Linked DNA regions of Drosophila melanogaster. Changing the gene in region 2 together with the main gene of any one other region gives a genetic interaction. Each region holds a gene or a part of one and is shown on either strand. Other genes may lie near its edges. The genes, in order: RhoGAP18B and Efa6.

Region 1 (3,926 bases), on a different chromosome or scaffold from region 2:
GGGGGCTTCGTATTATTCGTAATTCTTTGATCTAGGATCGCCGCCATTAATCATAATCGGCTTGGGGCGGAAAGGGGAAACCGGTTAGGGGTTTTAGGTGCTTAAAACATGTTTCGCATTCTCCAACACCACCAATTGTTGTTACAGCGTCATTTAAATAAAACTGATTCAAATCCAGTCGAGAGTAGCCTACCACCATATTTCAAAATACAACAGATTTGGATCGTTAGGTACCACAAATGTTGGTTGGTTGGTAGGTAAAAGCGTTTTCACGGTGTTGTTAATCATACTTTGGTCTAGAATCAGGGTCAATGGTCAATGGTTGTCTTGTTTGCTTGGACAATAACCTGTATTATTAATTTTCAATTCTTTATAATCATGTTTGGGTTGTCCTTTAAAAGATAATTTTACAGAACATTCTATAAGATATTCATTTCTCTGATAAAAAACACACAAATTATACAGAAACCGAATTTATTTAAATAGAAAATCTTGATTAATTACTTGCGTGATATATTAACAATCCGAGAAATAATTTAACAAAGAGCCATACACTTAATTGTTCCAAACTATTTGAATTTTAATAGCAAACAAAAGGCTTGTGGAATTCTTCATAACTGATTGACTGTGTTTTCACTAATATAATTGTTGTGGTCTCATTAGGAGCATTTCTCTGAACTAATTAGCTTTCTACAAAATAAACAATTCTTAAATTGAATCCCTAGGGTCTGAAGGTTCTGAAGCATAGTTATTAATAAATAAGTGAATAAACTATTTAGAAGCCTGACATCACTGGGCTTGTTGTTCATTTTGGAAATTTTGAAAGTATATATTTCAAATCCTTCATGACTTAAGAAATGCTTGCGATTCACTTTAAAGTGTTAAAATTTCATTAATAAAATGTTTTTATGTACTGATACGAATCACCAAAATGCAGCAATAGCATAGAAAAAATATATTGATACCGAATTCATATACTTTTTTAAAAATTTTCATTCAGAAAATCCGTTTCGTTATAAATAGCTATAAAAATAGCTGTAGCACAACCAATTGAATATTATATTTTTTAATATGATTATGATATATATTTTGTTGAACCCAATTAACTAAGTTTAACTTCAAACACTGGCAAAATACACAGTTTATAGTTTGATTCCTCAAATACAAAAAAAACAAAACCGCAAAACTTTGGTTTTTCGGGCGCCTTGGTGATAAACTTGCATACTTTTGGGCATTCGATCGAGACCTTCTTGACCCCGTCAATAAAACCTGTCCAAATTGTGCAGCCCCCAAGGAGACAGCAATGCAATCAGTGTGGATTGTGGGTAATCCGCTGATTTGCCTATGCCGATGATTCATCGCCGTTCATTTTCAGATGGCGCGACAAATGAATAAATGACGATGAATGCCATTGTAAAAGCAATATACTGTAATTCACAAGAAACACATGAGCACACACACCCATATTATGGGCGAAAGGAAGGAACAAATAAAACGGGATTGGTCCCGTTATCTCGCAGCGCTTATCTCACTTTCTCTCCAATTTCCCCAAATGCACTGTTTTATTATTAAAACTATTGTAGATCGATCGAGGCACTTGGTGGGCTTCAATACCGAAACCCGAGCACCAAAACAAAAAGCACCGATTTTGGCCAGCACTGATAAGCCGAGCTTTAAATGGGAGCATTACGAAATTGGGCTTGAGGTGGGGCTCTCCATCAAATCGGGAGCTGCAGGCGCGACGCGTTCGCGAATTTAACAGAATATCAACTGAAATTGAACTCAAGATGCCGCCGAGAATTTTCTTGGGTGGCGGTCCGCCTCGTAAGCGATTGACGTCGCAGTCGCCGCGCAGTCGCAGTCGCAGTCGCAGTCGACGCCACGAGTCGGTGGCGGTGGCTATGGCTATGGCGATGCCGACCTCCGGTCACCCAGGGAACTCGAGCACTCCACACTAGTCAGCAAAAGTGGGCACTAACCCCCAAAGCCCGCAACAAAATTTTGTTGCTTCCGATGAAAAAGCAAGTTGGGAATTATAAGCGGGTAATTTCAAATATTTCAGATATTCAAATGAAATATAATACATATATTACAGGATATATCAGTATTTTTAAAAACTATAAATGCTAACTATATATGCCAGCCTTACAAAATTATATCATCAATAAGTTTCTTTAGAATAAAACTTTTTAAATTAATATAAGATTCAATAGAAATTCTTGCCTTGTCTAATACATTTCTTACAGTTATTTACTTTTATAGGCAAAGTCTATGGATCATTATTATGACCATGACTATGGACCATTATGAGCTGTGATTCATCATCGGTGAAACTATGACTCATGTCAACCGAGCTTGAAACTATCCTTCGTACCCATGTCATGCTGACCAGTGTGGGCCAGAGATCAGTGATGGGGAGGCAAAAGCCCAGAACAGAACAGAACAGCGCAGAGCAGAACAAACCTAAAACTGAACTGAAACCGAACCACATGTGTGTAATGGAACATGGGCAACATGTGTGGCTCTGTCTGGCTGTGCGCCACCACATTCACGAATGTGCGTGTGTGTGTAAGGGTTGGGGGTGGCATGGGCTAATGAGGGGGTGAGAGGGTAAGGGTGGGGCGTGGCAGCGACAAAAGACGCTTTTTATACTCAACGCCCGTTGCCTAATTAAGCATATCGAGTGCGGTCCCTGAAGGAGGGTGGTAAAGGGGGGGGGGGTGCTGTCGAGGGTTGGGAGTTTGTTTTTCAGTTCGGCTGAGTTGGGAGTAGGGGGTGCAAAAAAAGGGGGGGGCTGGGGTCGGTTCTGGGACCGCAGAGGGGGCGGTGCTGGGCGGGTGGATCGAGCTGTGTAAGTAACCATGATGAATGCTAAACACTGTTCAATTTATGCACAACAGTTGCGTAAACCGATTACGATATGCATATACATATGTACATACATACTTTTGCTCAACACTTTATTGCAAGCAATTCCGATATGAAAATGAGAACTGCACTTTCAGCACGAACCGTAAGCTCTCTTATTTCTTATTGAATTTTGAAACCAATCCTCATAATCCTGTTCCTCATAATACTGCTCGCAATCATGTTTTGAAGATCCATATAGTACACGACCGATATTTACAAAAATCGGAATCCATATAAAACAGAACCGGGAGCAAATAGAGAAAGAAAAGATGAGGATGCATCTTTGGGGAAAAAACAACAATTCCGGGGAAGAGACTTAAAAAATAGGCGAATGAGAGTGAGACTGAGAATGAAAATAAAAATAAAAATGAAAATGAAAATAAAAATGAAAATGAGCAGAGGCCGGCGAAGAATCGCATTGCAGCCGATGTTCAGCAATATGGTCGCTTGATCTTTGAACTAAATTAATTAAGCACAATGAACACAATTGTTGTTGTTGGCTTCGCTGCCGACGGCATCAAATGTATCCACCAGATACGAATACAAATACAAATACAGATGCGGATACAAAACAACAAATACGCACACATACCGAAATAAAGAAATGCATTCAGGCTGTGACCAACATTGCATTCAACTGTTTGCTATCGGCTACCCTACATACATACATATGTACTTTTATGTATGTATGTGTATATGCAGGAATATACCAATAAATCATAGGGTTTTCTAGGGTTGACTAAGTGTGGGATTTACACTATAGATTTAATATCTATCTTAAAGCACGCCACCACATATGAGTTTTAAGTGCATAAATTGAAACCCAAATATATTTAATATATATTTATTCGGCTAATAAATTATGAATTATATCTCGGAGTAGGGCATTTAACATTCGCAGTGCTTGGTAAATTAATTCCTGAAGAACATATTTCTCATGTTTTCGCTTTCAGTTTCCATCTTTTTTTTTTTTTTTTGCCCCGACTCATATTTGGTTTGGCTTTTCTGCGGGTTCC
Region 2 (3,926 bases):
CCTTCCAGCGCCCTTCCACCCATCAATTAAAGCAACGATGACATCACGAGCGGCAAACAATGATGACACGCCAACGGAGGACTCTCATTTGCGCTTTTCTCGCTTTTTTCGCTTTTTTTTTGTTGCCGTTGTGCAAATTGAAATGCTTTCACATACGCCAGCAGACAGCCATGGTCATCACCATAAAAAAAAGAAGTGGAAAAGTGGAAAATATTCTTATCAGCAGCCGAGGGGCGAGTCTCGGTCGCTTTGCACACAATCCAACTTCCAAAACTCAAGCCACCAGCTGCCATAAAAAATCGTACTTATCTATGTATGTACATACATACATACATATGTACGTATGCACTTTGCGTCAGATAAAACGTCATGAATAATTTGTTTTCCGTTTGAATGCTTATGTAACGGCAGTTGGACGGTATACAAATCCTTCAAAAATTTTAAAACGGTGCTGAAATCACACAATTTGTTATTGCACTTCTCTAAAATCTCCTTAAAATTCCCTGAAAAGCACAAAATTCCAGGGAAAAATGCGTATTGCAGAACAGCAATCTTAACTAGAAACTGGCATGATTTCTATGAATTTTGTCAATTGTCAATTTTTTGTCAATTCTCTAAAATCTCCTTAATATTCCCTGAAAAGCACAAAATTCCAGGGAAAAATGAGTATTGCAGAACAGCAATCTTAACTAGAAACTGGCATGATTTCTATGAATTTTGTCAATTTTGCCAGCTACGTATTTCCATTTAATGATCTTTAATAAATTCCGCTATTGGGCGGTGTGCCTTGTCGAGGCTCTACTGTAGTCTAAAATGTGGCGTTGCCAAAAGTGAGCCCAGCAAGGGAGCTGTTGCTTCTGCTTCTTCGCTGGCTGCTTCCAGTGCCCGGTGGTTGATGAAGTCATTGGTAGAGGTGGTCGGAGGTCACCGGTGGGTGGATATGAGGGGGTGGCATGGGCCGCTCGGTGTGAGGACTCCGCCAGTCCTCCTGTCCCAGACGGGAATGGAATGACACACAGCACACACAAAGGCGCAGAGGAGCTGCAACTGCGGTGTGCTGTTGTGTTTGCTTCACTTACCGCTCCGCAATCGGCTGCCGGCGAATTCTCGACGATGTCGTAGATGACATGTGGCGGTCCGGTGGTTCCGAGTAGCGAAAACCCGAAACCGGAATGCTGCTCGCTGCGCCGCAGCACCACTTTCAGTTCCTCGCTCATTTTGGGTCCTTCGGCGTCCTGCTGCCGATCGGTTCACACTCTTTTCACCGAGTTTTCGTTTGGTTGGTTGGCGGTGTGGGTGGGTAACCCCTGGGCGTGATTAATCCTTTGGGCGACGGCCACTTTTCTTAGTCGCTTTAATTAATTCTCGCTGTTTTGGGCTTGGCCAACTTCATTTGCACACTCTCATTTTGTTTTCACTCTTTCCACTTCACAACATGCACACAAACACACACGCTCACAAACACTCATACACGCACTCACGGATGACGATTTGAAAAAAAGAATGAAACTCCTTGGCGAATTTGTTTAAACATTAAACATTATTGCATTTGCTGCGCTGCTTCTTCTTCTACTTCGTTGGCTTTCTTTCCACGCAATTCTGCGTTCCACGCAAACGAAACTTGTTTAATTCGCCCGTCTGCTTCTCGCTTCGTTTCTTTATGTCGCTTTTGTCCGACTGTTTCGCCGCCGCTTAGCGGTTCGCGGGGGGTTTTAGCCGCACATATTTTGGCGAATGTGGATGCCCAGATATCGCAGATTGTACTAAATGATTGTAAATTGTAAATTGTACTATTGCACTGGGGATGGGAAGCATAAAAGTATTAATATATCGATAGATATCGGAAAGTATTTCTACCGTTGCTTCATTTCTATCGATAGATATATTTAAACCTCTTGTATACTTTTTCTAGATTAAATGAGATTTATTAGCTGACAAAGGAAAATTAAAAGAAATATATGAATAAATCTAGCCAAACAATAACTACACAGCGAAGGACAACAGATATCACTGAATGCCCTTTGGAATGTCATAGTCTGGCAACACTTGAAATGTGCCTATGCCTTAACCAAAAAAGATTACCCAACACTTATTCAGTTTGAAAATAAATGCGGATAATTTAAAACCGGAACCGGTTAATTTTCATATACCGGTATATTATTTAATAAAAACTCAAATAAAAAAGGGTATACCTAAGCCCCAAGAAAAATAAGCAGAAGCTAGAATTTACGTTTTTGCTGTGTCCATTTTATAATTGGTTTCATAATAGGATATCAAAATTTTTTGATTTCTTTTCTAATTTCTAAAACCCCCGTAAGACTTATTTTATTGAACTATTTTATCCCTTAACCATTTCTGTGACACGCACTTATTTCCCCATTAATTATTATATAAAACTCCACTTTGTCATGGATTATCTAGGAATATACACTCAATGGTCACTCGTAATCCGCCGCATCGACTTTAAAAGCGCGTGCAATTGCGACTTTCAGATAAATCTCCGACTGGGTCTTACGACTCGCCGACGGTTGTCTATTAAAATTTTATAGCTCCGCAGTTGGTGGCACAAAGCACTTGACTCATGCGTCCACTTCCGTTTCTGACCGGACGCCTGGGGAAGGGGCTGGGAATCGGATTCGGGTTTGTTGTGACAACAGTTCGTAGGCAAAGACAACAAGCCGATCTGCGGGTGTCATAACCACTCATACCCGAGGTCCAGATGTTGCGCACAATTATCATATCAGCAGCACATCATTTGCGACTAAGTGAAAAAGCAGATTGGCCTGGCACACTCTGCGCCTTGTTTAAAAAGCAGCTCCGCCGAATCTGAGATTTCAGTAATAGTTTAGACCTAGAAGCAAAGACATCGGCAATGAAGAACTCCCACGCGAACGTCTACCAAGAATCCTATTGCTACGAGGATATTACGAAATCGTGGCTGAACCAAACGGAGGGCTATACGGACTGCAGCTATGTATATGACCACAGTGCGTCTTCTTCCTACGCGGATTACAATAAACTAGAAACTAATTGGTGCAACGAAGCGAACGATCAATGGTTACAAAATGAGGCACCTACTGGTCAAGAACTTCCAAGCCAAAGGTCCAAACTCCGGGCAATCAGCTCGAATCGCAAGGAACGCACAGCATTTTCAAAAACGCAGCTCAAGCAGCTGGAAGCGGAGTTCTGCTATTCCAACTATTTGACTCGCTTGCGTCGCTACGAAATCGCAGTGGCGCTGGAGCTGACCGAACGCCAGGTGAAGGTGTGGTTCCAAAATCGACGCATGAAGTGCAAGCGCATCAAACTGGAGGAGCAGCAAGGCAGCTCGGCCAAAACGCCATTTTAGTTTGTACAAGGACATATTTTAACACAATTCATCTTACAAAATGTTTTCGCTTACTTAACAACTATAGTAAATGTATTTTAAGCTACTACTTGGATTTCTTGGCCTTTCCCTTGGGCAAGGGTTTGGCCAGCGACTTGGCTGCGGCCAGCTGCAACTTCTGGGTGGCGGCATTCTTGTTGCTCTTAGCCGGCGGAGCTATTTTCTTCTTCTGCACACCACCAGTGCCGGGCTTGCGTTTCAGTTTATCAGCCAGCTTAGTCTTTTTCTGCTTGGGCGGCGGTGATAAATCCTCCTCTTCGTCGCTGTCATCGCTGGTCTGCTCACTGTCCGCTTGCTCCTCCTCAGCCTCCAGATCGGACTCATCATCGGATGCATCAACGTAGTCCTCATCATCGGAGTCCTCGTTGATGGTGTTGCCCAGCAAATCCTCCAGCGTTGGTTCTTTCTTCGCGGCCGTTTTTTGTTTCTTACCGGCTTTCTTGGCGGCTGCCTGGCTTGTAGATGCCTCAGCGGAGCCTGCTGCTTTCTTTACTGGTTCCACCAGTAAGTTGGAGAAGTCGATGCCCAGATCCTTGTA

The links.
Region 1: of Efa6 (region 2) and RhoGAP18B, changing one suppresses a phenotype caused by changing the other (phenotypic suppression), as found in Drosophila melanogaster (one study listed by BioGRID).

What each region holds. Positions count from the first base shown.
Region 1 is NC_004354.4:19,156,430-19,160,355, forward strand, and holds the start of RhoGAP18B (Rho GTPase activating protein at 18B), read right to left. Parts: upstream 1,773-3,926; 5' UTR 1,691-1,772; intron 1-1,690.
Region 2 is NT_033777.3:22,585,572-22,589,497, reverse strand, and holds the start of Efa6 (exchange factor for Arf 6), read right to left. Parts: upstream 1,744-3,926; 5' UTR 1,218-1,743; coding exon 1,080-1,217; intron 1-1,079. Other genes in the region: btn (buttonless), read left to right, coding at 2,873-3,349; CG6937 (uncharacterized protein), read right to left, coding at 3,435-3,926. UniProt on the Drosophila melanogaster protein: Guanine nucleotide exchange factor for Arf6. Regulates axon growth and branching by inhibiting microtubule polymerisation at the cortex. Together with shot, promotes axonal microtubule bundle integrity.